2 linked regions of the Ovis aries genome follow. The protein of the gene in region 2 purifies or fractionates together with the protein of the main gene of each other region. This does not show direct contact. Links are inferred from orthologs where the notes say so. Each region holds a gene or a part of one and is shown on either strand. Other genes may lie near its edges.

Region 1 (15,540 bases), on a different chromosome or scaffold from region 2:
GCTGGCCTCCCACAGCCGGGCTGGGGACCAGCTCGGGGACAGGACGAACGCAGGCTGACGGCCAGCCCCCCAACATCCCCCAGCACAGGTCCCAGCACGGGTCCCAGCGGGCAGGAGACCCAGAGGCCGAGACCCAAGCTGTGGGCCCCGAGGAAGCAGCACGCAGGCTCCCTGAATCCGGGCCTGCCACGGGCACACCCTCCCCTGCCGGGGGTCTGGCCCCTCCAAGCCCCACCCTGAGCCCACCGCACGGGCCCGAGCCGGTCCTGAGTCCCCAGCTCTCGGGGAAAGTGCTGGATGAGCGCACTGCCACCGCGTTGGTGGGTGGCAGGCAGCCTGGCAGGGGGCCAGGCAGCACCGCACTGCTCCTCCAGAGCGGAGCAAGCCCCAGCAGGCCCAGGGAGCGGGCGCCAGCTGACGGCACTTCCCGCACGGGGCCTCCATACCACACCCATCGGCCACTGACAGCCACCGCATGCCCCAGCCAGCAGGCCCGCAGCCGGCCGCGTCCCCACGTCCGCAGGCCCCATCCCACCAGCAGGACACTCGGCCCCGGACGGTCAGCACACGCCGAGAGCCAGTGCCTGGGAGTGGGCACAGCACCCCCCCCCACCAGAGCCCGGGTCTGCCGTGCAAACCACACCGCCAGCTCCTTGCTCCTGGGGACGCGGCACTCATGAGGTCCTCCTGGGGGCACAACGGGCAGTTCGGAGGAGCGGAGAGGATGGGCGTCCAGGCCCAGCCCAGTGGAGGTGATGGAGGGGAGGGGTGCACCCCCACATGGGCCCTGAGCCGTCCCCGGCAGCCCGCAGGCACAGAAGGTGGAGCGTCATGACCAGCCGCTCCCTGGGGAATCCAAAGCCCAAGGCAGGGGCTCTCGAGGTCCCAGAGAGGCGGCTGGGGGCCAGAGTCGAGGTCCCGCTGCCAGGCCGGGCCTACTTCTGGAGAGACTGAGCAGCTGTGAGGTCTCTGGTTCTAACATCAAGCAAGGAGGGCCCAAGCCGCATAGACTGCAGGGGAGCGCGGGCAGGCGGGGTGGCAGGCAGGGGTGCACTCGGGGCACGCTGGAACTCCCACCGAGGCAGAGCAGAAGGCCCCAGGGGCTGCCCTCCCGCTTCCCACTGCCCCAGGGCAGCACCGGGCCTCTGGCCAATCACGACCCACCACTGCCCTGCCTGCACGCCCGCCTGGCCTGGACGCCCACCGGCCTGGCCACCCTCTCTGAAAACCCCGCCTCCGCCCTGGGCGCCACACGCCATCCGCTGCACCGGCTAGAGAAAGCGGCTGCCCTGACCCCGCGCACATCCGGCTGGCACTGGGCCCCAGGGCGCCCCCTCACCGCCTCGGAGCTGCCCCCCTGGCTCCGTCCCGGGTCCTGTCCCCAGGACACGGGGCCTCCTGCCCAACACACCGCCCCGCCTCTTGTCTCCCTGCCCCCAGCGGCTGGATGCCCCTCACTCAATCACCCTTCACTCAGAAACCTCGCCTGCTGAACGGCCGCATCCCCACTGCCCAGGCGCCACCACGGACCCAACGCGTTCTCCCTGCGGCTGCCTGCCGGGCCTCATCTGCCGCCCTGGGCCTGCGTGGGCGCCCAGCCTCGCTGCCGCAGGGGCGTCTGGGGGCCCGCGCTTTCGGGACAGGAGGTGGATGGGCAGCCCACAGGCCTGTAAGTCCAAGGCTTCCTCCCTCCGCTGCTGGCCTCTGGGTCACAGGCCCTGGCCCTCGGGCAGGGCTGCCCAAGGTCACATGCACGCACGTGCTGGGTTGCCACAACATTCCCCTAGGGACATACCTCTCAGCCCTGTGCCAAGAGCCCAGGACGGACCCAACCAAACCCAGGAAGGTGCCAGGCCCCGCGGGGCAGGGCAGAGGAGATGCGCACAGGCAGGGGAGTGAGCAGACGGGTGGCACCGGCTCCCAGGGGGCCGGTGGGGGCAGCGGGGCCTGCCCTGTGCCCACGCCCCCCGCCCGCCAGCCCAGACGCTCAGAGTGGGCATCCAAGCAAGCCCAGCCTCCCCGCGGCCAAGGGGCTCCGAGCACCAACATCCCCCCAGGACAGAACACCACCCGCATGGCAGAGGGGTCAGGGACCTTGGGACTGTCGGGGCCCCCCGCTGCCCAGCTGCCCACTCCCCAATGTGGAGCCCGTCACAGCGGCCCCCTCTCCCGGCGTCCCACCCTGTGACCAGCAGGCTGCATCCTCCCCACGCCCGGCCCTGCCTCCTCGCACTCCCAGCCACACCCACCCTGGCTCCATCCCCTCCAAGTTCCTCAGAGCCCCCCATTCAGGTTCGCCAGGCATCCTGCACCCCAGCCCGGGGCGGAGCAGCACATCCTCTCGGCCAAAGGGCTCCTCGAGGTCAGCCTGGTAGGGGGCCCCTGACCCTGTGGATCCCGCTGAGGCCCAGGGGCAGGCAGGCCCCGCAGGCAAAGCCCCAGGCTCAGGGGGCTTGGTCCTGGGCACACACCCAGCGCCCCAGGGCCCTCAGCCCCAAGGTTGGCAGGAGCAACAGCACACGTAACCAGCACCCCCATCAATTCCAACATTCCTGAGACAGGAGTGCGTTATTTCTGACGGTTAGGGAGCCGCGTGACGCAGACGAGAAAGCAGGGGGAGCATGCTGCGTGGGGCGCACACAGGCCGGAGCCGGGGCCCTCTGCCAAGCGGCCAGAGGGGGCCAGGTCTGGGCCAGGGACCTGAACGGGGGTGCACGGGCAGACGCCAAGGGCACCCACCCCGTGGGAGCAGTCACGCGAGGCCCCCGGGGCAGCTGCGGGCCACGAGCCTGGCCAGGGGGGATGCCCGCACCCCCACTGCACTTCTAGGAACTGGCCTGACGCGACCCGGCCCAGGCTGCCCCAGAGGACCACGGCGGGTGGGACGCCCTCCCCGCCCCTGTAGGGGCGCTTGCTGAGCTCCCAGGGGCCAGGGCCCTCCCCGCCCGCCAGCATGGGGCCAGGAAGCAGACAGGGGCAGCGTCTGAGTCTGGGGACCCGGGGCGGGGGCGGGGATGACCCCTCACCCCCAGCGCAAGGACGCCCAAGCTTCCTCTTTTGTTGTTTGTTTTGAAGGGAAAATTCAGCCTGCTCACAAAACAGGAAACTCGGCCCCACACCGGCCCGCGGGCCTCAGCCTCAGCCACACGCCACGGGCCCCAGGTCGCCACCACCCGCGGGCTGGAGGTGCCCCCCCCCCGAACAGCCCGCCCCCAGGCACCAGCTCCCACCCTTGGGGTTGGCTGTCTGCTCCGTGCGGCCCAAGGGGACCACCAGGGCCAAAGCCACGGACCCCGTGGCGAGATGGCCCCCGTGGCGAGATGCGGAGGGAAGCTGGGCGCGCCTCGCCGGGCCAGACACTGGAGCCCGGGGTCTCAGCTCAGCCGGGCCCGGGGCGCACAGCACAGGGGGGCAGCCCCCTCCCCTGCGGGTCCCACGAGCCCCGTGTTCTGGCCAGCAGAACCGCGGCCTCCTCGAAGAGAGCCAGGCTCACCCGCACGGCCCCACCCTGTGGGGGGGGAGTCAGGCCTGCGGTGGGTGGGAGGCTGACAGCAGGTGGGACGACCATCTCCCGGGACCAGTGCAGGGAGCAGGTGAAGCCCAGGGTGGCGGCCAGAAGCAGGAACCGGCCAGGACTGAGGCGGAGGCAGGGGAGGGGCCAGCACGGCCCAGAAGCCCACTCCCCACCAGGAGGCCTGGGAGCAGCTCAGTGAGCTGACAAGAGCCTGGACCAGGGAAAGGTCTGGGCCAGCCACTGGCTAGGGTCGGGACAGAGGCAGGCCTGAGGCGCCCCCAGGACCAGGACCAGACCCTGCCCCCTGCCCCCTGCCCCCTGCCCCGAGCCCGAGGAACACAGGGCCTCGCCAGGTGGACCTCACTGGGGGAGTGGGGGCCAGACCCAGGAAGGCTCCCAGGCAGTGAACCCCGTGCCCCCAGGCCGGCTCTCTGCCCGCCTCTCGGCCCCTGCCTGCCAGGCCGCGGCGTGGGGGCTCCTGCTGGACTGCAGGCCAAGTCCAAGCAGCCCTGCCTCCTGGAGGAGGGCTGGTTTTTCAAGCTGTCCACCTTCAAAAGTCAGAGAGCACACATAAAAGGCCAAATCTTTGCAAAGCGGCCTCCGTGAGCCTCCCTGAGCCCAGTTCCCCAGCGCCTCGGCTGGAGCTGAGAGGCAGACGCCTGCCACGCGGGGCGGCCTCCCACGGCGGGGCGTGTCTGCCCACCACTCGTGGCATCCCGCGTTGCTCAGGGAGGCCGCCGGCCTCTGGGACATCCACTCGTACTCAGGACATGCAGCTGTCTCGCAGGAGCTCTGCCCACGGTCCCTGCAGCCCCACTTGGCCCAACCTTTGTCCTTCCGAGCCTCTAGCAGCTTGGCCGCAGGCTCCCCGGGACGCCTGGGGACCCGGAGGCCTGGAGGCCGCACCTGGGTGCCGCAGGGTGGGGCGGACCCTGGCTGCCAGGCAGGTTCTCCCCTGCCCGGTCGGCTGCTCCGAGCCAGAGCACACAAGTCGGCGGTGCAGCCCCTGAAGGACGGGGGCAGGAGCCGGGCCCGGGGATCTGTCCTACACAGACCCTCGCTGCCTGCCCTTCAGCTCTCAGGCCGACACCTGCTGGCTCCTAAAGTGCCTTTGCCCTTTGCCCACGGGCCCACAGCAGCCCCCTGACCTCCATAACAAGAGGCACCGTGGGGGCACTCGGGGGTCCGTGAGGAGCTGGAGGACAGTCAGAACCCCCCCTCCAACTCAGAATCAGATCCCTGGCAGTGGGGGTGGGGAGGGGAAGGTGGAGCCCCCTGCCCACTCCCGGCCCGGGCCCCCACTCCACCCAGAGCCACCACACGGGGGGCCTTGACGTCCTCCTCCAGCCAGTCCTGAGAGGTGGGCGCAGGGCAGTGGGGGGGCACACAGGAGCGGCTCACACCGACCCCTCCCGCCCACTTTGAGGGGCTGGGCGCACACAGCCACCCACCTGCGGACCCCCAGGACGGAAACACAAGTCCCCCCCGCAGCCCAAGAAATGGCACCACCACAGCCCTCCAGCCCCGAATCGGGGTCACTCTGGATCCCCCGATCCCGGCTGTGACCTCTGCCCCTTTTGCCCTTTCACCTCAAAGCGCAGCACACAGGAAGAGCCCACACTTCGGGGAAGAACAGATTTGTGGAAGACGCACAGATTAGCGAACAAGCTGGTAGTGACACCAGGGTCCCCGGGGGGGCCGTGGGTGAGGACCCGGGCACCCCCTGCGCGCGGGCATCCCCTGCGCGCGGCACGGCCCCTCCTGGGCCACAGGGGCCAGCGTGCCCCGCCACGCCGCACACCACCCAGCGGGCATGAGAGCCAGAGGCAGGGCAGACGCAGGACCTCTGCCACGCCGCACACCACCCAGCGGGCATGAGAGCCAGAGGCAGGGCAGACGCAGGACCTCTGTCAGGCCTGAGGCTCGCTGCGCTCCGCCCAGGGTCCGGGGGCCCGCCCCCGACTGCTCCCACCGCACAGACGGGGACACAAAGGCCTGAGGACGCAACACACTTGCCCGTGGAGAAGGGCATGGCGATGGGGCGCTGCCTGGATGCCCCCGCCCCTCCAGAAGGCACACACCCCGAGTGGCCCACTCAGACTCACCCAGGCGTCAGAGGGGCGCTTCCACCCAAACCGGGCTGGCCAGTGGACACCCCAGGAGCTGGGCTGGGGGCCCCGGCAGCCCCAAGCCCCAGGCATCTCCCAGGTCAGTCCCTGGTCAGCCAGTCGACCAACGCTTGTCAAGGGCTCAGAGGCCCTGGACCCCAGTGTGTGCCTGCGCTTCCGCGAGGCGCAGAGGGGACGGCAGAGACCCAGGCAGGCTCAGGCCTGACCCCAAAGAGGGCGACGGGGTGAGGAGACAGGGCGGGACCTGGCAGGGATGGGGGGGCGGGGAGACCAGGAAAGGGTCAATGCTGGGGGAGGGGACCCAGAGGGCCAGCCGCTGCAGGAAGCCCTGGGGGGCCGGCCACGGACCACAGGCCCCTGCAGCTGCCCCACCTCCGTCTAGAGGCCAAGCACTGTGCCCCTGACCGCTGCTGGAGCGAGCTCTGAAAGCTCACACTGACCACATCCGTGACCCCTGCTTCGCGCCCCTGCTGCGCCTGGGGTCTCATCTCCACCTCTCCCGAGCTTCCCAGCCTGCTCCGCTGGGCGGCTCCTGAGCGTCCCAGAACACCCGCTCTCGCTGCAGCTCCCCAACTGCCCACCTGTGCCTGAGGTCCCCTCCCAGTGTCCTGCGGGGTCCTGAGGTGGAGAGGGGACACCGTCCCTGGAGGGCATGCATGAGGAGTGGGGGCTAGCGGCTAGCTGGTGTGGGGCGGCCAGAGCTGGAGCCGGTCTGCAGGAAGGGGAAGTTGGGGGAGCAGGTGGTGACTAACCAGCCCCCGACCTGGAGCAGGAGAGCACGCCCTGCCTGAACGCCTCGGACACCTCGACCCCAGACCTGTCCTGCCCCCCGGGCCTGTCCGGCCTCTATGGGACAGGAGGCAGCGAGGCAGCAGGGCCGCAAGGCGAGGGGCCCGGGACAAGCTCCCATCCCACCAGCTCCCCGAGAGCCCCTCCCTGGGCACATGGGCGAGCAGGGGGCAGGCCGGGCAGGGGCCAGGGCCTGGCAGCACCAGCGTGAGCCTGCGGCACGCCAGGCCCCGGGCAGTGCGGAGCCCCCTCCTGCCCACAGCCCAGCCGGGACTGGCCCCGGGCCAGGCCCGCCAGCCCTGCCCTGCCCTCAGGAGCCCTCGGGCAGTGCCCTGGGCCGCCAGCGCGCCAGGCTTTGGACAGGCCCCAGTCCTTGCTGCCTTCCAGGAAAGCGGGTGGTTCTCCCCGCCCGCAGCCTGGGCCAGGCGGCAGCTCCACGGGCTGCACACCGGCCTGGGGTGCACGTTCCCAGCCAGGAGGCCCCGCGGGGGCTTGTGTCCCCCAGGCCGCAGGGATGTCGGGCCCCGGACGTGCCCCTGGGCTGCTCCCAGGGTTCAGGGAGGCCCTGCTGGTCCAGCAGCCACAGCCCACACCGCCTCCAGCCCCTGAGGAGCCACGGGCCCAACTCGGGGCCCTGAGCCGGGCCGGCCTGCGGGCACTGACCTCGCTTGTGCAGCCAGCCCTCCTTCACGACGGCCACGTCGTCCATGCTGCTGTGGCTCCCGCGGGCCAACGCGGCCCAGACCTCACTCTCGCGCCTCTCGGCGGGGTCCACCCCGCACCCAGCGGGCCGCCGACAGCCTCTGTAGGAAGCAAAGGGAGGTATGAGGCTGTGCTGGGCCCGGGGAACACTCCTCAGGGGAACCGAAGAGGCCCGTGGCGCCCAGGGTCTCAGCTCAGGCGCATCTTCCCACGTGGCCTGTCCCCCTTAGCCTTCAGAGCTGCCGCCTCCCCACACATGGCCTTCCCACCCCGGCTCCAGATCCCAAGTCACTCACACGGCTCCCAGGGCCAGGCCTGCCCTGCCCCCAGGCTGTAAGCCCCCCCGCCACCACCCCTCCCGGACCCCAAAGCCCTCAGAGCTCACTGTCCCCGTCTCTGACCATTCCCACCTCCCCCGACCTCTGTACAAATGACCCCTGTCCCCAAAAGGCCCCGCATGGTATATCCCAGCCGCCCTAACCTGCCAACCCAGCAGAAGCCCTCTCTTCCAGGCAGTCCCCCTGACTGCTTCGGCCCACACCTCCTGGCCTCCGCAGTCCCCTGGCGAGGGTACCCAGGTCTCCCCGTCCATGGTGCTCCTGCCCCAAGGTGGGCGTTCCCGAGAAGGACCCAGGCCTCCTCCTCTCCGTCCCAGACTGGGAAGCAGAGGAGTTCCAGCATGAAGGCAGGGCCAGGCAGGCAGGCGGCTGCTGCAGACGAACTGGAGCCCTCCAGGGCAACACACGACCCCTCACAAACCCACCCCAGAGAAACCCCAGGCCCCCCCCTAAACCTCAGTGCCCCGCCGGCCTGAACCAGTTCATTCATTCGGCCAACATGGACCAGGCATCTCTGGTTTTGCCAGGCTCAGCACTGGGCACTGGGGACAAAGAGAGGTTCAGACGAGTCCTGTCTGCGAGGAGCACCCAGTCCAGGGTGGTTACAGACCCATAATTACAGCATTCAGCAGGCAACAAACCAGGGATGGGGGGACTGTGCAAACACGGAGGCCCGGCACCAGCCCTTCGGAGGCCCACCAGCAGCCTCCTCGTGAGCAGACCCTTTGGCCATTGATCCTGTGTGGCCCACCCCTCTGCTCCCCTGTTGGATGAACTCCTAGGCACCCCTCAAAACCCACTGCCCACATCACTGGTTCTGAGCATCCTGGGAAACAGCATTCTCCCCACAAGCAGTCCTCCGCTACCCTTCCAGTTGGGCACTCAGGAGGGTAGGCCTGGAAAGACTCCTCTCTGGGACCCTCAAGCTGGGCAGACACCCCTAAGTATCTCCAACATGGTATATACCTACATATACACTCTTCCTACACACACTCCCTGCACGCATCTCCCACAGCCCACCTTCCTGGGCTCCTGGAGAAAGCCACTGTGCACTGTCCATCCTGGGCTAAACCTAGAAGGGCAGGAGGACCCACGCTCTGCTTTGTGTCTGACCCCCGTCAGCGGGCCCACAGGCAGGCGTGGCAAGGAAGACTGGAGGAGGGACCACCAGGGCCTGGACTCAGAGCCAGCCTGGCTCGCACAGGGGGCTCTGGTGACACTCGAGTGGGCGTGGCCTGGAGGCAGAGGGCTGGACTCAAAGACCTCTGCACGGGTGGGCCCCCCCCCCCCCACGGGGCTGAATGGGTCTGCTGCTGACAGGGCCAAACAGCTGTGGAGAGCCCCGCGTGTAAAAATCTGTCTGCGCGCACACACAGGGCGGTGTGCCTGTGCGCAGAAAGGTGCACACCGCCGGGGCCGGGGCTGCCTCCCCTCGGGACGGGCGGCTCGAGGGGACCTCTGCTTCTGCGCTTCCGTCCTGGGAGTGCCTTCACCACGAAGGTGAGTTACTGCTATGACTGTTCAAGTCACGACCTTCCAAAAAATAATAATCTCTGCTCCGAAAGGCCCCCTCCCTCGGCCTCCAAAACACCAGTTTATACACTAGATGTTCAGCTAGGGGGCAGGGGACCAAGCCCCACCAGTGCACCCCACTCTTCATTTGAAACAGAGGCCCAGGGCAGCTAGGAGTGGCCTGAGCAAGGTGGGAGGGGGCCAGGGGTGACCGCCGGGGGGGCATCTCTGGCCCCAGAGCACAAGCCCACAACCCCAGCTCTGTCCACCAGCACTGCCAGGACCCAATCCCACCCACCAAGTTCACCAGCTGCCCCGGGATCCCCCCAACCGGGGGCAGGAGCCCCAGCCTCGGGGATGGGTGGGCAGCACTCGCGAACCCACCCAGCTCCAGAACCAGTCTCAGGGCCCAGGAAGGCTGTAGTCCTTTGTGGGAGGGCCTAGGCACCCAGCCACCACGGACAACTTTTTGTCCATGGGAAAATGAAGTCCCTTCCAAGGGCCCACCCACAAACTTGAACGAGAGCCGGGTCGAGTCTTTTCCCCGGGCCCCCGAGCACCTAGTGTGCGCCGGGACCCCGCTGGCCGGGCGCCCGGGGAGCCCTCGGCCGCCACGGACCCCCGGCCACGGACCCCGGCGAGCGGCCGCACCCCTCCGCCCCGGCCCGGGCCTCGCCCGCCGGAGCCGCTTCCCCAAGGTCATGCGGGAGGCTGGGGCCGGAGGCCCGCCGCCCCGCCGCCCGCCCGGCCCGCGCCTTCCCCGCCCAGGCCTCTCTCGGCCACTTCCTGCTCCCGCGCCTCCATTCCGGCCGCGCGCGGCCCGCGCCCCGGCCCGGGCGGCCGCGAACAAAGCGGCCCGGCCGCGGGGAGGAAATCCGGGCCCCGGCGGCGGGCGGCGGGCGGGCGGGGACTCACCGGGCGCCGCGTCCGGCGAGAGCGCGGGCCTAGCCGGGCCGCGGCCTCCGGCGCCCGCTGCTCCGCATCCCCGCGGACCGGCCGGCCGGGGCCGGGCTGGAGGCCGCGGCGGGCGCTGCTCGGGCGGGCCTCGCGCGCCGCCGGGCCCGGAGCTCGTGCGCGGCCGCCGGCTCGCTCCTCGGGATGCGCTGGCTGCGCGGCTGCGCTGGGCCGGCCGCCCGCCCGCCGCGCTCGGCCCCGCCGGCCCGCCCTCTCCCCGCCCCGCGCCCGCCCCGCCCGGCCGCCCGCCCACATCCGCCTCCGCCGCCCGGGGCGTCCCCTCCACGGGGAGCGGGAGCGCGCGGCGGGAGTCCCTGGGGCCGGGCCGGGCCGCCGGCGGAGCCCGGCCGCTCCCGCCCCTCCCCGGGGCCTGCCTCCGGGCCGCGGCCTCCCTGGCCTCGGTTTCCCAGTTTTGTCCGGCCAGCCCGCACTTCTCGGACCAGTCCGGCCTCGACCCTGTTAACAGGGCCGGCGTGGGCTGAGCCGCCTGCTTCTGACTCCCTCCGGCGGGAGCAGGGCTGGAGTGTGGGTTAGTCTGACTTTTAGAATATGCCCCAAGCTGGGGAGCTGGTGGCTCGAGGGGCCACGGTGGGCCTAACAGACCCAGTCCAAGGCCCTTTGCCTAGCGCAGGCCCCTTGGGTGGGGGGGGGGGGGGGTGCATGCAGGCGGCTGGCCGGTGGGCAGCCATCTGTCTGTGGGCTGAAGGCTTGCTTGGGTCTGGCCCTGGGCTGGGCCCTCATTCCTGGTGGGGGTCTTCCAGAAGCTCCCCTCCCCAGAAGGAACACGCAGACATCTGGCAGCTACAAAAGCGAACAGGGACCTCACGTGGGGACCAAGAAGAAAGAGGGCCCAGGGCCCGGGGTGGGGGTGGGGGCGGGGGAGGGGGTCGCCATTCAGCACACCTGGCCTGGAGGGCCCCCCTGAGTCAGTACAGACACCCAGAGGGGGTGCAGGAGGGCAGTCTCCAGAAAAGGGCTGTGACGGCTTGAGGCAGACCAGGGTCCTCCCTGATGTCCCCAGGGGCCCTGGGCACTTGTAGGGCGCTGGGGGCCAGTGAAGGGGCCAGCATGGCACTGCAGACAAGCCGCCACCCCACCCCTCCCTGGGCCCTGCTGTGCACAACCTTTTCCAACAGCTGCCCCTCCCCCCACCCCCAGGCCTCCAAGTTGACGGCGATCCCTTCACGAAAGGAAGACTTGGGGGCTCCCTTCCTGGCATTGGTGTGTATTTGGGGGGAGGAGGACATTTTTGTTCTTCCTCCAGAGTCAGAGTTTTAGCCTGGTTGGGAGGGGTGGGGTATAGACACTTCATCTGGGTCAGAGGTGGAAGCCGCTGAGCGCCCAGGACAGCGTCCGCAGCTGTCCCTCCCTCTCGGGGCTGAAAGAGAAGGACCAGGGACACTTGCTCCTCCAGGAGAGGATGAAAACCTCTAGGCCTCTGCCCTCGCCACCCCCACCCTCCCGCCCCAGCGAGCTGCCCCAGCGCTGCACCTCCACCCCCAGGCCCTCGTCTGCAGGGACCAGGGGGGAGGCCTGACCGGTCTGGGCTGCTGGGTGCCTGACAAGCACTCGCTCCCCCCAACCCTCCCCTTGGGCCCCGTCTAGGACCATCTCCCCCACCCCCGCCCACCATTCTCCCAGGAGGGCTTTCCTCCGCACCGGCGCCCCATCCTGGGCTGGCAATGCCAAGGAGAAGGCAGGGAACCCCTGGGGGCCCGAGAGGGCGCCCCCTCCTGGGCCCTGTGGTGACTTGCAGCCGTCCTCGCCATCGGAAGACAGACAGCGTCTTGGCCAGGAGTGTCTCTGTGGTGGTCAGGCCTCCTCGGCCTGGCCCGTGTCCTGGCGGTGAGCCCCACAGCCCTGCCCTGCAGCATAGCTGGGAGCCGGCCCTGCGGCTGGAGCCTCTGCGGGCAGGCCCAGCGCCCTCCTCTGGCCTCCGGAGGGTGAGCAGAGCCCCTCTCCTCTAGAACACCTCCTGCCCGCTGCCCCCCAAGCCGAATGTCGCTGCCCTGGCTGAGGCTGGGGCCGCTCAGGAGCCCCCGAGGCAGATGTTGGCCACAAAAACTGCTGCACCAGCCTCCGGGGAGGGTGGCCACCTGCCCGTCCTAGAGCTCAGGGTCCTTGCGGCCCGGTCACCTTCTGCAGCTGCCGGCCCTCGGGCAGGACTCGGGGGCCCGAGGCCCGGGCTGCCTGGTCTCTGCAGCAGCTGCAGGGCGGGGCCTTGAGGCAGCTCCCAGGCCAGATGGCTGCCTGGCTGGCCATGTCCAGCGACGTTCGGCCCCCACCGTTGCGACAGCCTCCTGCCATCCCTGTGCCTCAGGCCTCGCCAGCCACAGCGGGGACCCACAGGCCAGGCCTGCTGGCTGCCGGGTGCCCTCTCAGGTGGCCTGGGGTGGCCCCTCCCGGGCCCGAAGGAGGATGTAACTCCAGGAAGACTGGAGACCTTCGGACCAGGAAAACACAGGGGCCTCTCTCCCTGTCCCCTCCCCTGAGCGATGTCCCTCCTCCCTTAGCCACCCCTACCCAGCACACCCCCAGCCTCTCGCTGGCCACATCCCCTGCTGCCGCGTGGACCCCCTTCGTGCCCAAGACCTCTGTCTGGGCCCCAAGGAGCCCTTTGTCCCACCAGCCAGGCAGGGCAGGCCAGGACACTCTGCCCACCCCAGGGCCTTCTCTCCCGGCCTGGCTGGGGAGCTGTGTGCCCGGACTGGGCAGGTGGGCACGTCAGAGCAGTCAGGATCAGGATGGGGGCACCGTGGGCATTGGACAGACCCCTCTGCCCTGCTTTCAGTCAAGAGACACGACTACACCCCCTGCCTGTGCCATGCCAAGTCTCAGCAGCAAAGATCCAGTGGAGAGCACGGGGTGGCAAGGCCACATGACACGGGAGCTCCTTGGAGAAGGCGGAGGCCCCAAGAGGAGATCGTGGGCTTGGGGACACCTGAGTGGGAGTGATCAAGAAGACCCACTCCCAGGGGCTGCTGCTGGAGCAGAGACAGGACTGGGGAGACGTGTGTGGAACCTGAGGACTCACGAAAGGCCCCAGGGTCTTGCCGTGTGCTGGGCCCTCCAGTTAATCTCCCCCTTTTGCAGATGAGAATATTAAGGTATGGAGAGGTTAAGAGTCATGCCCAAGGTTGGAAGGGGGTAGAGGCAGGGCTGTGAGCAAGACTCCGAGAGGCAGTCCCCTCTGGGTTCACTCTGACCTGACTTGAAATCAGCTGCCCAAGCTGGGGTGGGGGCGGGGCGTGGAAGTGAAGGAAGGGGCTGGCCTCCTCAGGAAAGGGCCCCCAGGGTGCCCGGGCTCTGGGAGCCAGGGCATTCTCGCTGGCTGTGAGCACAGTGCAGGTCCAGGGTACCAAGCCAAAGACTGCTGAATTTAGGAAATAAAAATGCAAGCTGCCCGGTGAAATCTGAATTTCAGATAAACAAGTAATGGATTTTAGTATAAGAATGTGTCTTTCCTTCGCTCAGACTTGAAATCCTAACTGTGGTGGGCCCCAGGGCCTCTGCCCACCAGAGTTTAAATAGGACCCCTGGAGCCCCACCCCCACACCCCATCTCACAGCCAGGAACTCCCCCCAGGGGTCCTTGCCTCCCAAGAGCATGGGCTCCCCACCCCGTCTTGCTGCCTCTTTGCCATTGTATACCCGGCTGGCTGGGGTCCTGCCTTTGTAATGAAGCACCCCAAAACACCACCCCCACTTCTAGTCAAGGCCTGCCCACCCTCTGTCTCCCGGGGTTCTGGGCTGTACAGGTGAGAACGCAGGAGACGCTGCCAGACTTGGATCCTGGTTCAACAACTGACTGCCTGCTGTGTGGCCCTGGCGCCTTCCGAACCAAAACCAGTGTGATAATCAGAGCACCTCACTAAACCAGCAGGGCTGCTGGGACAGCTGAGCAGCGGTCCACAGCGCCTCCACCCTGCTCTGTAAAGGCAGCTGGGAAAAGACTGCCAGCCAACAGTCACCTCCCGCCCTGGGGGTCCCAGCCTCTCCAAGCTCATTGCTCTCTGCTTTTCTCAGGCTTCTTCCTTAACCCAGGACCTAGGTGTCCCTCACACCTTCGCGTGGCCTTGCTCCTGAAAGGCCAGCTCAGCCCCTTCGGGGGCGTCACCTCTCCCTGAGGACTCCCTCCTCCCCCTTCGCAGCCCGCGGCCCGGCTCTGGGCTTTCGGCGCATTTCCCTCTCTCTCCATCACCGCGATGGTCCCCTCACCCCATGACGCCTTCTGGGACCGCCACGGTCCCCAAGGCTCACAGCTCCGTGCACCTGGCTCCCATCAGAGGCCTCGCTGGGTGTGCTGAGAGGATGAGAGTGCCCAGTTTTGGAATACCAAGGCTGAGAACCCGCCCAAGCGTCTGGAAAAGGGGCCCAGCTAAATTAAATTCAATACGAGGCTTTCAAGGAAAGGGGGTGTCATCTTCTCAATATGTACGACTACCCCCGCCCCCTCCTCCATCCCAGGGCGGGCACCCCGCGAGGTGGCGGCGCGACCCGGCTGCGCCTTCGGGAGCCTGGCGCCGGCGCTGGCTGGGAGAGGAGCTGGTCCTCGGAAGGAGTCTCTTAACAGACGGGCGCAGTTGGGACCCCATGGGGGGGACCCCGAGGATGAAGCGGCAAGTATCGCGAGAGAGCCCCCTCCCCCGCCGCGTCCCGCGTCCCCTCCCACCCCAGCGCCCCAGATGGCGGCGCGCGGGGCCGGGCCGGGCGGGGCGGACGGAGAAGGGGCGGCGTGGGTGACCTCAGCGGTTCCGCCGCTCCGGGAAGTCGCCTCGGCCCGCCCCCTCCAGCCCCCGCCCCGAGTTTCGCTCTCTCCGGGGCGGGGCAAGCGGCGAGTGCTGCCGGGCCAGCCAAGTTGGAGCGCGCCCCGCCCGGCGCCCTCCCCGTCCCCGCGCCCTCCCCGCCGGGGCGCGCTGCCCGCAGCTCCGCACGCGCAGGGGCGGCACCGGGGAGGGCGCGCGGCGCGGGCCGCGGCCGGAGAGGAGCTCGGGGCGGTGGAGGTGAGCGCGAGGGGCGGGCGCCCCGCATTGCCCGCCCCGCCCGCCGGCCCGCTCCCCGCGGTCGCGCTGCCTTAAATGGGGCCCCGCGGCGGCGGCGGCGGCATCTGGCGGGCCGAGCGGCAGCTGGAGGCGGCGCGGAGGCGCGGACCAGGGGCGGCGGCGGCGGCGCGGCGACTCGGGCGTCGGGGGACGCGGCCGGCTGCCGCCCCAGAGTGAAGTTCAGGGGCGCCCGCGCGGGGAGGGGCGCCCCGGGTGGAGACGCGCGCAGGTTCGCGCGGCTCCGGCCCCCTCCGCTGGCGCCCCGGGACCCGCCCCCGCGGCGGAGCAGCTCCTGTTTACTTTCGATCGAGTTTTTCCTGCTCGGGGCAGGTGCCCAGGGAGGCTCCGGGCGGGCAGCCGCGCGCGGCGCCCCGCGCCCCTCTCCCCGCGCTGCCCGCACTCGGGAAGGGCTGGTCGGGCGGCTGGGGGGCGAGCGGCGGCCGCGGCGTCTCCAGGCGCGCTCACGGGCGTCCCGTTTGTGCCCAGGTGATGACCGCGGCGGCATGGAGTTCCCGGAGCACGGCGGGCGGCTGCTGGGCCGCCTGAGGCAGCAGCGTGAGC
Region 2 (15,540 bases):
TCTGATTTTGGTATCAGAGTGATGGCGGCCTCATAGAATGAGTTTAGGAGTTTCTCCTGTCTGATTTTAACTTTGAAGTCTGAGGGGATTCAGCTAAATGTAACAAACTTTTTTTGTTTTTCCCTTTTAGGGCCACACTGTATGGTATGTGGAATCTTAGTTCCCCAACCAGGGATGGAATCTATGTCCCCTGCAGTGGAAGTGTGGAATCTTAGCCACTGGACTGACAGGAAAGTCCTGCAACAAACTTTTTTGAGCCCTACTATATGATCTGGTTCTGGGCCAGGTACAGGTAACAAAGAGAGAAGACTTAGACCCAGTCCTCGAGTGCTTGTAGCCTTGAGTGTGAAAAATGCTACAACAGAAGTAGATACAGACACAGAAGAAGTGACTTTTAGGGAAAACTTCAAAAAGATGAGAACTGATATAGATGTTTTCTAAAGGATGAAAAGTTCACTAAAGAAACAACAGGCAGGCTGCTCCAAGCAAAGGCAGAGAAATACGCGCAACTGCTAGGATTTCAGCCTTTATGGCTAAAAGGTACAAAGAGAACAGTAGCAAGATGGGGATGGCAAAACAAAAGAGGGGTGACACTATAGTGGCTCTTTGGCTTTAACGAAAGCTTAGATTTCATCTTCTAGGTTAATGTTTCAAAAGGTCAATAGGAAAGACAATTTTAGGTGGCAGAACAACAATAACACGTGTATTTTTAAATGAATATTATAAAAGGACATAAATAGTGCATCACACTTTGATTTCGTGTTATTGCCTAGGATGAAGCTGTTTAAAGGAAAGGAGTCTTTAAAGATTCATGAAAAATACATGCCAACTGAGTGGCAAAGTACTTTTTTTTCCATTATGGAGTGCCTTGGGGTGTTTTAAGCAAAGCAGTAACATGAACTGAGGTTTTAGAAAGCTCCCTCTGATGTAAAGGATAAATTGTAAGGTGAGAAGCAATGGTAAGGAAACCAGTTAAAAGACTGTTGTAGAGATCCAGGGGAAATATGGTCAGAAACTGAACTAGAAAGGAATGAAAAAGATTTAAGAGATATCTAGGATATTGGGACCAAGGGTTGTAGAGACTGACTGATCATGGGGGAAGAGCAAGTAGAAGAGTTTTGGATAATTCCTGACTTGTGGTTTGAAGACTGGAGTGGACAGAGGAAAGGAAAGAGGAGGTTTTTGTTAATGTTTGTGTGAATGTCAGGAGGTGGAAAGTAGGAGCAGAACCATTAATTTTAGTTTGGGGAATGTTGAGTTTGGGACCACAGATGAACACTATGATATTGTGAGAAATAAAAATAATGAAAGTTTCAGTTCTAGGAGATGAGAACTAAGTGATACTTGGAAGTAAAGGCACCTATAAATTCACAGCACAGACTCTGTGCATGAGGGATAATCACTACTTTTTGTTGCCCTGAATAGGGGAAAGGTCTTGCTAGATGTTTGATTATGTGTGTTTCAAGCGGGGCATAAGTTACAACTTATTAATGTATCTCCTTTTAAGATTAAGTTACTGAACCAAAAGAGGCATGATTTGTAAAGCCTGTAAATACTACTGTTACAAAGCCCGTAAATATTGTTACATATTCTCAACATAGACTACCAGACACCAACATATAATTAAAGAAATGAATCTATCTTTGTTGTGAGATTAGCACAGGACATTTTTCTTTTCCAACGTATAAGATGGTGGTGTGGTTCAGTCACTAAGTCATGTCTGACTCTATGACCACATGGACTGCAACATGCCAGGCTCCTCTGTCCTCCACTATCTCCTGGAGTTTGCTCAAGTTCATGTCCACTGAGTTAGTGATGACACAGGATTAATAATGGATCTGCACTCTTTATTCTTTAAAAGTAAGTTGGCTGGGCTCTGGTTCTAAGGGAAATGCCGTAAAGCCCATGTTGTTGCCTCTGGAGAGCTTGAGGGGGTGGTTGGGCCTTGTTCTACTACAGTGGTCTGCTTGCCCATTGGGGAGCAGGGCATTGCAGCGGCTCTCTCTCAGCCTCAGTATTTGTTAAACAGAGTCCCCGGTGAGAAGAAATTTGCCAAACTGGCTGGCTTCATGGGTATCATGAATAACATTCAGAAACAGTGATCTAAATTCACTACTCAACTATAGTTGAATCTACAGTCTACCCGGGAATTTATACCCAGGGTCATCTTGAAATCATGCTGGGAGAAACTGACTGCAGAACCTTGTTGACAAGCTACATAAATACAAAGAAAACATTGTGTGATGTGATTCTTATGGTCCAGGAAAGAAAGATACCTCATGATGTTGTCCTTGGTGCAGCCAGTTAATTTTTTAAAACTTAATGCTCACAACTCACATGCTTGAATCAAAGACCTTTGAAACAGAACTCAAAGATGCTGCACCTGAGGTTATCAAATAACTTGTGGAATTTGCTTATACCATGAGAATTTCTGTGAATAGCAACAATGTTCAGTCTTTGTTAGATGCAGCAAACTAGTACCAGATTGAACCTGTGAAGAAAATTTGATTTCTTTTTTTGGCTGTGCTGGGTCTTTGTTGCTACATGTGGGCTTTCTCTAGTTGCAGCTAGTGGGGGCTACTCTTTAGCTGAGGTAAGCAGGGCTTCTCATTTAGATGGCTTCTCTTGTTGCGGAGCATGGGATCCAGGGTGCTTGGGCTTCAATAGTTGTGGCATGTGGGTTCAGAACTTGTAGCTTGTGGACTCCAGAGCATGGGCTCAGTTACCCCACGGCATGTGGAATCATCCCTGAGTAGGGGTCAAACCCATGTCCCCTTCATTGGCAGGCAGATTCTTAACCACTGGACCCCAGGGAGGTTTGTGTGTTGATTTTTTGAAAGAACAAGCTGATGCTTCAAACTGTCTCAGTTTAAGTGTACTAGCAGAGTGTCTAGACTGTCCCGAATTGAAAGCAACAGCAGATGACTTTATTCATCAGCATTTTGTTGAACTGTTTAAAACTGATGAATGTCTGCAACTTGATGCCAAGCGAGTTACACATCTCCTCACCCAGGACACTCTGACTGTGAGAGCAGAGGATCAGGCTTCCCTGATGGCTCAAACAGTAAAGAATCCACCTGCAATGCTGGAGGCCTAGGTTGGATCCCTGGGTTGGAAAGACCCCTTGGAGAAGGGCATGGCAACTCACTCCAGTATTCTTGCCTGGAGAATTCCATGGACAGAGGAGCCTGGCCTGTTACAGTCCATGGGGTCGCAAAGAGTCGGACACAACTGAGTGACTAAGCACACAGCACACAGTCTGGTGGTTAAAATACGGTGAACCTAATCGCCAGCCATTTATGGCTGACATCCTTGTTATGGGCTTCCCTGGTAGCTCAGCTGGTAAAGAATCCGCCTGCAATGCAGGAGACCCCAGTTCTATTCCTGGGTCGGGAAGATCTGCTGGGGAAGGGATAGGCTACCCACTCTAGTATTCTGGCCTGGAGAATTCCATGGACTGTACAGTCCATGGGGTTGCAAAGAGTAGGACACAACTGAGTGACTTTCACTTTTTCTTGTCAAAGTCAGGTTTCCACTTATAACAAAGAATTTAAGTAAAACAGTACAAACGGAACCACTTATTCAAGATAATCCTGAATGCCTTAAGATTGTGATAAATGGAATGAAGTATCATTTCCTGTCTCTAGAAAATTGAGAAGAACTGGCAGAAGGCAAAAGGCCCAGAAGAAGGAAACATGACTATTGGATAGCCCTATTTGGAGGCTCCCAACCAGTCTTGTAGATATTTTTCAACCCAAAGTTGAAAAGAGAAGTATGTTCTGCATAAGCCTAGGAATGAGCCTACAACTTCAAAATACTCTTTTGATGTCTTTGCTCTTATAAATGGCCCATACTTAATGCTCTTCTGTATACTCAACCCCAAGTTTTTAGACTTCTAGTGAAAAATTTAAGTAATCGAGGAAATAAATATCAATAAAAACATCCTCATTTCATCAATTATTACTTATTCCCTACAGCTAATATAATTAGAATCCTATTACAATACTAATTAATATTTCTATTAAAAGTATCACCCTTGGACTTCCCTGGTGGTACAGTGGATAAGAATCTGCCTGTCAATGCAGGGGACATGGGTTTGATCCCTGGTCCAGAAAGATCCCACATGCTGCTAAGCAACTAAGCCAGTGCGTCACAACTACTAAGCCCATGCTAGAGCCTGGGAGCCACAACTACTGAGCCTGTGTGCTGCAATGACTGAAGCCTACACACACTAGAGCCTGTGCTTCACAACAAAAGAAGCCACTGCAATGAGAAGCATGAGCTCTGCAACCAAGCGTAGCCCCCGCTCACTACAACTAGGAAAAAGCCCCAAGAAAGCCTGGGCACAGCAGCAAAGACCCCGTGCAACCAAAATAAACAAACAAACAAATAAATAAAAAGGTACCAGCCTCTCCTTTCTTTTTGCTAAAAACTTCATCTTGAAATTTTTCACTGTTTACTATGACTTGAATATTTTAATATGTTACTTGTCTTTATTATTTTTACTATTAAAATAATTGGGGAAGCTAATTTTATTGTAAATTATTATTAGTTACCTTGAATCTTCCAAGGTGAATATTATTTCATTATTCAATTCAAGTAGACTGCTTAATAATAAGTACTGTATAGCAATTGTTTCAAAATTCTTAAACTTAACATTTTCAGAGATGTTCAAATGGTTTTAACTATCATGAATGGAATCCATTTGTGTGTGTCCTATAAGGGCCTAAAATGATTATTTTCACCTATCTGATCTCCTTCAGAGAGGGCAATCTAAGCAGTACAATTTAATTTAATTATCTAGAATTAAGTCAATAGCCTTATAAACTATTATTTTTAGATATTCCTTAGATATAGCTGGCGAGAGGCAGCAAATATTTGTATTAATTGGTGAGTGGAAAATGATAAGAAAGAAAATCTTATTTTTTCTAGTAGATAAATCTTGGATTGCTATACTGAAGTGAAATGTTATTGTTCTTGTCTTTGTCCTTTCAGGAAGCCTGCTGAGTCTCCTCTCCTCCACCTGCACCTGTTTTTAAAGTTTTCATGTGCTTAAAGATAACTTAAAAATAACTAAAAGATAATTTATCTGAATCCAGTGCTCTGTTCTCTTAGTATTGGTGTTTTCAAACTGTAACATGGGAATGACTTATGATACTAATGCCTAAATGCCTAAGTTGAAAAAATAAATAAAAACAAGGTTCAACAGCTTTTAGTTCATGCTCAAAACAGAGTTGTTCCCTCCTCTATGGACCCTTAGTACTTCCCATAGTACATTTATTTAAAAATTTTGCACTTTCATTTCTTTCTCCCAAATTAGACTTGAGCTCTCTGAAAGGGTTGTTTCTTATTCATCTTTACAGCATTAGAAACCAATGTCTGGCATATTGTTAGTGCTTGATTAATATTAATTGAATATATCAATGAATCAAAACATAGGGATACAAGAACAGGCAATATTTATTTATTGAGAGTCTCTTGGTCAGCAAGGAGATTAAACCAGTCAATACTAAAGGAAATTAACCCTGAATAGTCATTAGAAGGACTGATGCTGAAGCTGAAGCTGAAGCTGCAATACTTTGGCCACCTGATGCAAAAGTCAAGTCATTGGAAAAGACCCTGATCCTGGGAAAGATTCAGGAGGAGAAGGGGGCAACAGAGTACAAGATGGTTGGATGGCATCATCAAGTCAATGGACATGAGTCTGAGCAAACCGAGAGAGATTGTGAAGGACAAGGAAGCCTGGTGTGCTACAGTCCATGGGGTCCCAAAGAGTCAGATACCACAGGGACTGAACAACAAAAACAATGGGAAAAGTACTAAGGGTACATAGAGGAGGAAACAGTTCTCCAACAGGCAATATTTATTTAGGGCATCCCTGGTGGCTCAGGGGTAAAGAAGCCAATGCAGGAGATGCAGGTCCATCCCTGGATAAGGAAGATCTGGAGAAGGAAATGGCAACTCACTCCGGTATTCTTGCCTGGGAAATCCCATGGCCAGAGGAGCCTGGCGGGCTACAGTCCATGGGGTCACAGGACTTAGAGACTTAACAACAACAATATTTATTTAATACTAACGCCAGACATTTCTTTGGAAGGAATGATGCTAAAGCTGAAACTCCAGTGCTTTGGCCACCTCATGTGAAGAGGTGACTCATTGGAAAAGACTCTGATGCTGGGAGGGATTGGGGGCAGGAGGAGAAGGGGACGACAGAGGATGAGATGGCTGGATGGCATCACTGACTCGATGGACATGGGTCTGAGTGAACTCCGGGGGTTGGTGATGGACGGGGAGGCCTGGCGTGCTGCGATTCATGGGGTTGCAAAGAGTCGGATACGACTGAGCGACTGAACTGAACTGAACTGAACTGAACACCAGACACCGCTGTTACATAGCCTTATCTCATGTAAATCTTGTATCAGGTATTAAACCTGAGGAAACTGATCCTCCTGAGGGTATAAGGTAATGGTTATTTGCCAGACTGCTTAGGTTCAGATTCCAACTCTACCACGTGTTTTCTTAAGCCCGTGACCTTCCTTAAGTCATAACCCTTCTTTATTAGTGGTAGTGGTATACTTTGACTTGCTGACGCGATTCAAGCATCCTGCACACTGCCTCAAAACCGTGTCACCCTCCTGTCGTTTCTTATGGCTTGACTTTCAAGACTGAAAGATCCGGTGACCTTGTTAATACTGATACCCTTTGGAGCTAATGTTAGCTTTCATTCTGAGGTCAGTTGGCTGAGGAAAGGGATAAACAGCTGAACATTACTCCTTATTCGGAGAAGGCAATGGCACCCCACTCCAGCACTCTTGCCTGGAAAATCCCATGGATGGAGGAGCCTGGTAGGCTGCAGTCCATGGGGGTGGCTAAGAGTCGGGCACGACTGAGCGACTTCACTTTCACTTTTCACTTTCCTGCATTGGAGAAGGAAATGGCAACCCACTCCAGTATTCTTGCCTGGAGAATCCCAGGCAGAGAGGAGCCTACTGGGCTGCTGTCTATGTGGTCGCACAGAGTCGGACACGACTGAAGTGACTTAGCAGCAGTAGCAGCAGCATACCCTTTATCACAGGCTAAGTTCCTGACGAAGAAGTTCTATCTTTCTGCCCATTTTCGCTGCCGGGCTAACCTGGACTCACCCGCGCGGGTTGCAGATCCGCCGATAGCCGGGCCGCGCCTTCCCGCCGGCCGCGCAGGGCCCAGAGCGAGCGAAGTCCCGCGGTGCAGCTCCTCAGCATGGCTCTCAGAAGCGAGGGAGCTGGCTCGCGCCGGCTGAGGTAAAAGCTGACTCACGCAGCTACCCACCCGCTGCTCTTCCTCTTTAACTGAGGCGAGGTGAGGGCGGGGCCTGGCGCGCCGGGGGGAGGGGACACGTGTCTCGGAGGGGCAGTGGGAGGGAGGGGCCTGAAGGCAGGCGCCGCGTCGGGTAAACCCTTTAGCCGTCCTGCCGCGCCTGAACCTTTTCTGGGGAAACTGTGAAGACTTGTGAAGGCCACTGGACCGAGGGGAGAGCGGCAACAGCGGCCGCGCGGCCTGGGGAGGGCGAGGACGCCAGATGTGCGGGTCCGCGGCTATGGCTCAGCCCTCAAGCCCCGGCACCTAAGCGCTGCTGGTGAGGATTCCCTGGTCTTTTCCCCATCTCTTGCTAGAGGGCCAAATTCTGGGCTGTTTCCTAATAGTTCTCCCTCCCGCCGCTGGTGGCGCTAGTGGTAAAGAGCCCGCCCGCCAATGCAGGAAACGTGAGACGCAGGTTCCATCCTTGGATTGGGAAGATCCCCTGAAGGAGGGCAAGGCAACCCACTCCAGTATTCTTGCCTGGAGAAAGAATCCCATGGGCAGAGGAGCCTGGTGGGCTACAGTCCATGGGGGCGCAAAAGAGTTGGACACGACTGAAGAGACTGGGAAAGACTAGAGATCTCTTCAAGAAAATTAGAGATACCAAGGGAACTTTTCATGCAAAGATGGGCTCGATAAAGGACAGAAATGGCATGGACCTAACAGAAGCAGAAGATATTAAGAAGAGGTGGCAAGAATACACAACAGAATTGTAAAAAAAAGATCTTCATGACCCAGATAATCACGATGGTGTGATCACTCATCTAGAGCCAGACATCCTGAATGTGAAGTCAAGTGGGCCTTAGAAAGCATCACTACGAACAAAGGTAGTGGAGGTGATGACATTCCAGTTCAGCTACTTCAAATCCTGAAAGATGATGCTGTGAAAGTGCTGCACTCAATATGCCAGCACATTTGGAAAACTCAGCAGTGGACACAGGAATGGAAAAGGTCAGTTTTCATTCCAATCTCAAAGAAAGACAATGCCAAAGAATGCTCAAACTACCGCACAATTGCACTCATCTCACATGCTAGTAAAGTAATGCTCAAAATTCTCCAAGCCAGTCTTCAGCAATACATGAACCATGAATTCCTGATGTTCAAGCTGGTTTTAAAAAAGGCAAGAGGAACCAGAGATCAAGTTGCCAACATCCGCTGGATCATGGAAAAAGCAAGAGATTTCCAGAAAAACATCTATTTCTGCTTTATTGACTATGCCAAAGCCTTTGACTGTGTGGATCACAATAAACTGTGGAAAATTCTGAGAGAGATGGGAATACCAGACCACCTGACCTGCCTCTTGAGAAATCTGTATGCAGGTCAAGAAGCAACAGTTAGAAGTGGACATGGAACAACAGACTGGTTTCAAATAGGAAAAGGAGTACGTAAAGGCTGCATATTGTCACCCTGCTTATTTAACTTATATGCAGAATACATCATGAGAAACGCTGGACTGGAAGAAACACAAGCTGGAATCAAGATTGCTGGGAGAAATATCAATAACCTCAGATATGCAGATGACACCACCCTTATGGCAGAAAGTGAAGAACTAAAAAGCCTCTTGATGAAAGTGAAAGTGGAGAGTGAAAAAGTTGGCTTAAAGCTCAACATTCAGAAAACGAAGATCATGGCATCTGGTCCCATCACTTCATGGGAAATAGATGGGGAAACAGTAGAAACAGTGTCAGACTTTATTTTTGGGGGCTCCAAAATCACTGCAGATGGTGACTGCAGCCATGAAATTAAGAGAAGCTTACTCCTTGGAAGAAAAGTTATGACCAACCTAGATAGCATGTTCAAAAGCAGAGACATTACTTTGCCGACTAAGGTCCATCTAGTCAAGGCTATGGTTTTTCCAGTGGTCATGTATGGATGTGAGAGTTGAACTGTGAAGAAAGCTGAGCGCCAAAGAATTGATGCTTTTGAACTGTGGTGTTGGAGAAGACTCTTGAGAGTCCCTTGGACTGCAGGGAGATCCAACCAGTTCATTCTGAAGGAGATCAACCCTGGGATTTCTTTGGAAGGAATGATGCTAAAGCTGAAACTCCAATACTTTGGCCACCTCATGCGAAGAGTTGACTCACTGGAAAAGACTCTGATGCTGGGAGGGATTGGGGGCAGGAGGAGAAGGGGATGACAGAGGATGAGATGGCTGGATGGCATCACTGACTCAATGGACATGAGTCTGAGTGAATTCCGGGAGTTGGTGATGGACAGGGAGGCCTGGCGTGCTGTGATTCATGGGGTCGCAGAGAGTCGGACATGACTGAGAGACTGAACTGAACTGAACTGAACTGAAGAGACTTAGCACTGCACTGCCGGCAGCTGACTTAAGCCCTCAGGCGGGTAGGAGTGCACACAGAAGATTGTAGGAATAGAATATTTTTCTTGGAGACCACCCCCCCTGCCCCCCACACACACCCCTGCACACACATCTTTAAGGGAGCAGAGCTATTAAAGTCTTTAAGTCTGACTTTTTCAAAAATAGAAGTTGTAGCAACACCTGAAGGATGCAGTCACCTCTTAGCTCTGGAGACATGACTGAGCTCCAGTCCAGGGCACCACCTAACACCGCGGGTGGGTTTGTGCTTAGTGACTCAGTCTTATCTGACTCCTTGTGACCCCTGAAGACTGTTGCCTGCCGGGCCCCTCTGTTCATGAAATTTTCCAGGCAAGAATACTGGAGTGGGTTGCCATTTCCTCCTCCAGGGGATCTTCTTGACCCAGGGATCCAGCTGGGTCTCCTGTGTCCCCTGTATTACAGGTGGATTCTTTACCCACTAAGCCAAGGGAGGAGCCCTGTAACACTGTATGCTTTTAAACTGTACCTGTCCTCTTATTTCTTCATTGTTGTATTAAAAAGAATATATCAAATTTTACTTGTCACCAGGAACTTCTCTTTCAGTAGGAGTCACTTAATTAGAAGTTATTTGAGGTTACCTTGTATCTTGCTCGCAAAGAAAATGACCCCAGGCTAGTAATGTGTTGAAATGGGGCTTGTACAGACTCGTTAAAATGGTAAGAATTTGGCTAGCCAGTTCTCAAACACTTCCATTATTTAAAATGTAAGTTATATAAACTTACAGTTAATAAGTTATATTTTAAAAATGAAAGTATTGTTATAACACCCCTGAGTCAGTCCCCAATAAAGGTTCTTCTGCCTGGTATCTTGGAGCCAGTAGGAGATCAAGTCTGGTTCAGAATCAAAGGAAATAAAAAAAGGAGGTGTGAGCTCCAGCTCTAGAGTACTTGGGTCTTCCTCATAGGCGTTTGGCCTGGCTGCTTCATAGGGTTCTTGTCAGCAGGGAGGGGGCGAGTTCTTGGCAAGCACCTCCCGCAACTTTTGCAGCTCAGGCTTTCAGAAGGCGATGTGGGGGAGGGGCAGCATACCTCCCCTGGGCCTGATAGCTATCTTGAATTGCAATATTGCTTGCAGCGCTTCTAAATATGGTTCCTGGAAAAAAAAAAAAAAATATGGTTCCTGGAGCTGAGGTGTGAGGGGCACAGCCTTTTTGCACTAGGAACTCTGGTCTGAAGGGCCTGGTGTAAAATCTCTGCAGAGGGGCACTGTGTGAGCAACTGAAACTAGACTAAGCACAAAGGAAAAGAGAAAGGTTAGATTTTATTTTACTACCCAGATTTTATTTCCTGGGAATTGTTTGTGGGCTTCGCTGGTGACAGTATTAGATACTAAAAACTGTTTATGTTCTTGAAGTATATTTCATCACTGATTACAGTTTTAAGTGAAAGTTGATTGCCTTTTCATAGCCACAAATAATTATAAGTGCTGTTTTAATTCTGGTGTACAAAACTAAATATTTCTTTAGGAATATAATGAAATACCAACAATAGTTTGATTTATGCTTTGTAATAAATTATTAGTTCTTTTAGAATGTAAAAAAAAATGCTTAATTATTTTTATTATATTTTGCTGTTGTATGTGCTCTTGAGGTTATTTATCTCTGTCACATTTGTATGGTGGGAATACTAGGCACCCCTTCCAAATATTGCATTTGGTCACATCACAGTGGTGGCTTAAAACTGACTGACTGGGAGTATTCATTCAGATACTGCAACTGAGGGCTTTCCTTTCTTACCTTATTAAATATTCACCAATATACCACAGTCTTAGTTTTAAGTCTTAAGGGTTACTAGAATTGCTTACCCCCAGAACATCCGTACACAAAGTTTTTCTGCCAACACAGCTCTGTAACTACTCACACAGTAAAGGTGGGACTGGAGGAATCATCAGGAGAGATTTATCGGAGATAAACAAACTTGGCTTTGGGTTTGGGTCTAAGTTCAGAGATCCTCAGTCTACTTTTTTTTGTGAGCAATTAGTATTTTTATTTAAAATATCTTTATATAAAAATCAGATATTTTGCTTGATTGGGGCTTCTCAGGTGGCTCAGTGATAAAGAATCTGCCTGCCAATGCAGGAGACTAGGGTTCAGTCCCTGGGTTGTGACGATCCCCTGAAGGAAATGACAACCCACTCCGGTATTCTTGCCTGGGAAATCCCATGGTCAGAGGAGCCAGGCGGGCTACAGTCCATGGGGTCACAAAAGAGCTGAACATGACTGAGTGACTTAACAACAACAGTTTTCCTTGATTATATGAACTTCTCCATCAGTTTGTCAGTAGGAAAGAAAGCTCAGTACTTTAAACCCACAACATTAACTGGGGGGTAAAGGTATACCATTCTGAGACAGACAGAATTTGAGAAATGAAGTGTGCAAGAATGACTCAGACTGAAGATGATTTGGCATAAGAGGTGGCTGTTGATGTTCTGTAATTTTAGCAGTTTGCCTAAGTTGTCTCCTTTCCAATACAGTACTCCAGTTTCCTGGGGGCATGGATGGTGCCAAATTGTCCTGTTAATTGTAGTACTTCTTTTAACAACCCACACAAATTGTTTCAATACTTGTTTGGCAGCAAGAGCCCAAAGTATCCTATTGTCTTTCCGCGTGGTGCGTGCAGAAAGTGGCACATTATAAATCAAATCCATACATCAAGATGACTTCTGTTAATAAATAAGAAGATAGTTTATACAGATAACTTAAAAGTGTATATATGTAAAAATTACAATGTAGTTCAGTTCAGTCGCTCAGTCGTGTCTGACTTTTTTCTACCTCATGAATCGCAGCACACCAGGCCTCCCTGTCCATCACCAACTCCCGGAGTTCACTCAAACTCACATCCATCGAGTCAGTGATGCCATCCAGCCATCTCATCTTCTGTTGTGCTCTCTTCCTCCTGCCCCCAATCCCTCCCAGCATCAGTCTTTTCCAATGAGTCAACTCTTTGCATGAGGTGGTCAAAGTATTGGAGTTTTGGCTTTAGCATCATTCCTTGCAAAGAACACCCAGGGCTGATCTCCTTCAGAAGGGACTGGTTGGATCTCCTTGCAGTCCAAGGGACTCTCAAGAGTCTTCTCCAACACCACACTTCAAAAGCATCAATTCTTAGGTGCTCAGCTTTCTTCACAGTCCAACTCTCGTATCCATACATGACCACTGGAAAAACCATAGTCTTGACTAGGCAGACCTTTGTTGGCAAAGTAATGTCTCTGCTTTTCAATATGCTATCTCTGTTGGTCATAACTTTTCTTCCAAGAAGTAAGTGTCTTTTAATTGCATGGCTGCAGTCACCATCTGCAGTGATTTTGGAGCCCCCAAAAATAGTCTGACACTGTTTCTACTGTTTCCCATCTATTTCCCATGAAATGATGGAACCGGATGCCATGATCTTCACTTTCTGAATGTTGAGTTTAAGCCAACTTTTCACTCTCCTCTTTCACTTTCATCAAGAGACTTTTTAGTTCCTCTTGACTTTCTGCCATAAGGGTGGTGTCATCTGCATATCTGAGGTTATTGATATTTCTCCCAGCCATCTTTATTCCAGCATGTGTTTCTTCCAGCCCAGTGTTTCTCATGATGTACTCTTAGAATCCATCAAAACCCCTAAGTAGACTCCAGCTCTGCTAAGATTGTAAAGGTACCAACAGCTCTCCTAGATCAGATATACTCAGTATAACTTCCGCGTGTGTCAGATAGTAGCAATGGCCCAGTCACCCACATTCTGACCCAGAGCCTTCACCAGGTATTTTTCCGAGCTATTCATGTTGACAGCACATATGAAATGTCTGGCCAAGTTTGGAGGGAGATGGGGAAAGTGACAATCTAGCAATAGAATTGGTAGCCTGTGGATATGGAAAAGTTTTTCTTTGGTGTTTGTGTGGCTTACATAAAGAATAAATTTTTCTTCCTCGTTTTTGATAGAACTATAACAAAATAAGTCAACTGTATGAAACTCAATAGTATTTTCACCATTCTCCTTTAATATTGTAAACAGCTTTATTGAGGTTAAATGGGGACCTATAATAAACCCCATGTATTTAAAGTATACAAGCTGGTAAATTTTGATACACATATACACCTATGAGGGTTTAAAGTATACAAGTTGGTAAATTTTGATACACATATACACCTATGAGGGCTTCCCAGGTGGCCCTAGTGGTAAAGAACCCACCTGCTGATGCAGGAGACATAAGAGACATGGGTTCAATCCCTGGTTGGGAAGATTCCTTGGAGGAGAGTATGGCAACCCACTTCAGTATTCTTGCCTAGGGAATCCCATGGGCAGAGGAGCCTGGCGGGCTATGGTCCATACGGTCACGCATGAGTCTGACATGACTGAAGAGACTTAACATGTATGAACACATACACCTATGGAACCATCACTGCAGTCAAGATAATGAGCCTATCTTGCACCCACAAGTTTTCCCCTCATGTCCTTTGTAAACTTCCTCCTACCCTCTAAGTGAACACCGATCTGCTGTCACTTTAAAACTTGCATTTTCTCAAGTTTTAAATAGAATCATATAGTATATACTCTTTTTTTTTTGAGATTCATCCATGTTGTTGTTTGTATCAATAATTTGTTCCTTTTTATTGATTAGTATTTCATTGTCTGGATGTACCACAATTTTCCCATTCACTTGTCAATGACCATTTAGGTAGTTTCCAGTGTTTCTCTATTACAAATAAAACTGCTCTGAGCACAAGTCTTTATATGAATAAATGCATTCTTTTCTCAATTCAGTTGTCCTTGTTCCTGGATCAAAAACTTGATTATCCTTTTTTTTTTTTTCACCACACCAGAAGATTTATGGAATCTTAGATCCCTGACCAGGGATTGTACCCTTGCCCTCTACAGTAAAAGCATGGGATCCTAACCAGTGGACTGCCAGGGACTTCTTTGGTTATCCACTTTTGTGTATTGGTCTACATTCTCTATTCTGTACCTTTGATCTAGTTACCTTTCTTAATACTAACATCATACCATCTTGATTCCTGAAGTGTTGTGACTAGTCTTGAAATTATTTTCAACTTTGTTCTTTATCAATTTTATTTTGACTATTCTAGATATTTTGCATTTCCATATAAATTTTAGAATAATTTTGTTAATATCTACAAAAAACCTGCTGGGGTTTTGAATTGATATCTTAGCAAATTGAGTCTTCTTATGAACAAATTATGTCTTTAAACAAGTTTTCTTATGAACAAGTTATTTTTCTTCATTTATTTAAATCTTCTGTAATTTCCCTCAGCTGCAATTTGTAGTGCAGGTTTTATACATCTTTTGTCATATTTATATGTTTAGGAAGTTTATATATATTGATGCTAGTAAGAACATTTAAAATTTCAATACCTAATTGTTCATTGCTTGTATATAGAAATACACTTACTTTTTAATATATTGATCTTATATCTGTAAACTTTAAATTCATTTACTAGTTCTAGTAAGTTTTTAATAGATTCCTTATATTTTTTTTTATGGGCTTCCCTGGTGGCTCAGAGGTTAAAGTGTCTGCCTGCAATGCAGGAGACCTGGGTTCGATCCCTAGGTCGGGAAGATCCCCTGGAGAAGGAAACAGCAACCCACTCCAGTATTCTTGCCTGGAGAATCCCATGGACGTAGGAGCCTGGTGGGCTACAGTCCAAGGGGTCAGAAAGAGTCGGACACGACTGAGCGACTTCACTTTCATTTTCAGTTAGGTTTTTTACAAAGATGATCATGTTATCTGAGTTTTACTTCATCTTTTACTATCTGGACAGCTCTATTTTTTTTTTTTTCTTTATTGCACTGTCTAGAACTTCCACTACAATGTTGAATGATGAAAGCAGATATGCTTGTCTT

What was found.
Region 1: the proteins of THEM4 (region 2) and AKT1 purify together in Homo sapiens (co-immunoprecipitation; 4 studies listed by BioGRID and IntAct, with this or other methods). This does not show direct contact. The link is inferred for Ovis aries from reciprocal best matches to the Homo sapiens genes THEM4 and AKT1.

What each region holds. Positions count from the first base shown.
Region 1 is NC_056071.1:66,971,122-66,986,661, forward strand, and holds the start of AKT1 (RAC-alpha serine/threonine-protein kinase), read right to left. Parts: upstream 10,129-15,540; 5' UTR 9,900-10,128; intron 7,236-9,899; 5' UTR 7,142-7,235; coding exon 7,096-7,141; intron 1-7,095. Other genes in the region: ZBTB42 (zinc finger and BTB domain-containing protein 42), read left to right, coding at 15,483-15,540. UniProt on the Homo sapiens protein: AKT1 is one of 3 closely related serine/threonine-protein kinases (AKT1, AKT2 and AKT3) called the AKT kinase, and which regulate many processes including metabolism, proliferation, cell survival, growth and angiogenesis.
Region 2 is NC_056054.1:101,867,285-101,882,824, forward strand, and holds the start of THEM4 (acyl-coenzyme A thioesterase THEM4), read right to left. Parts: upstream 7,299-15,540; 5' UTR 7,242-7,298; coding exon 7,143-7,241; intron 1-7,142. UniProt on the Homo sapiens protein: Has acyl-CoA thioesterase activity towards medium and long-chain (C14 to C18) fatty acyl-CoA substrates, and probably plays a role in mitochondrial fatty acid metabolism. Plays a role in the apoptotic process, possibly via its regulation of AKT1 activity.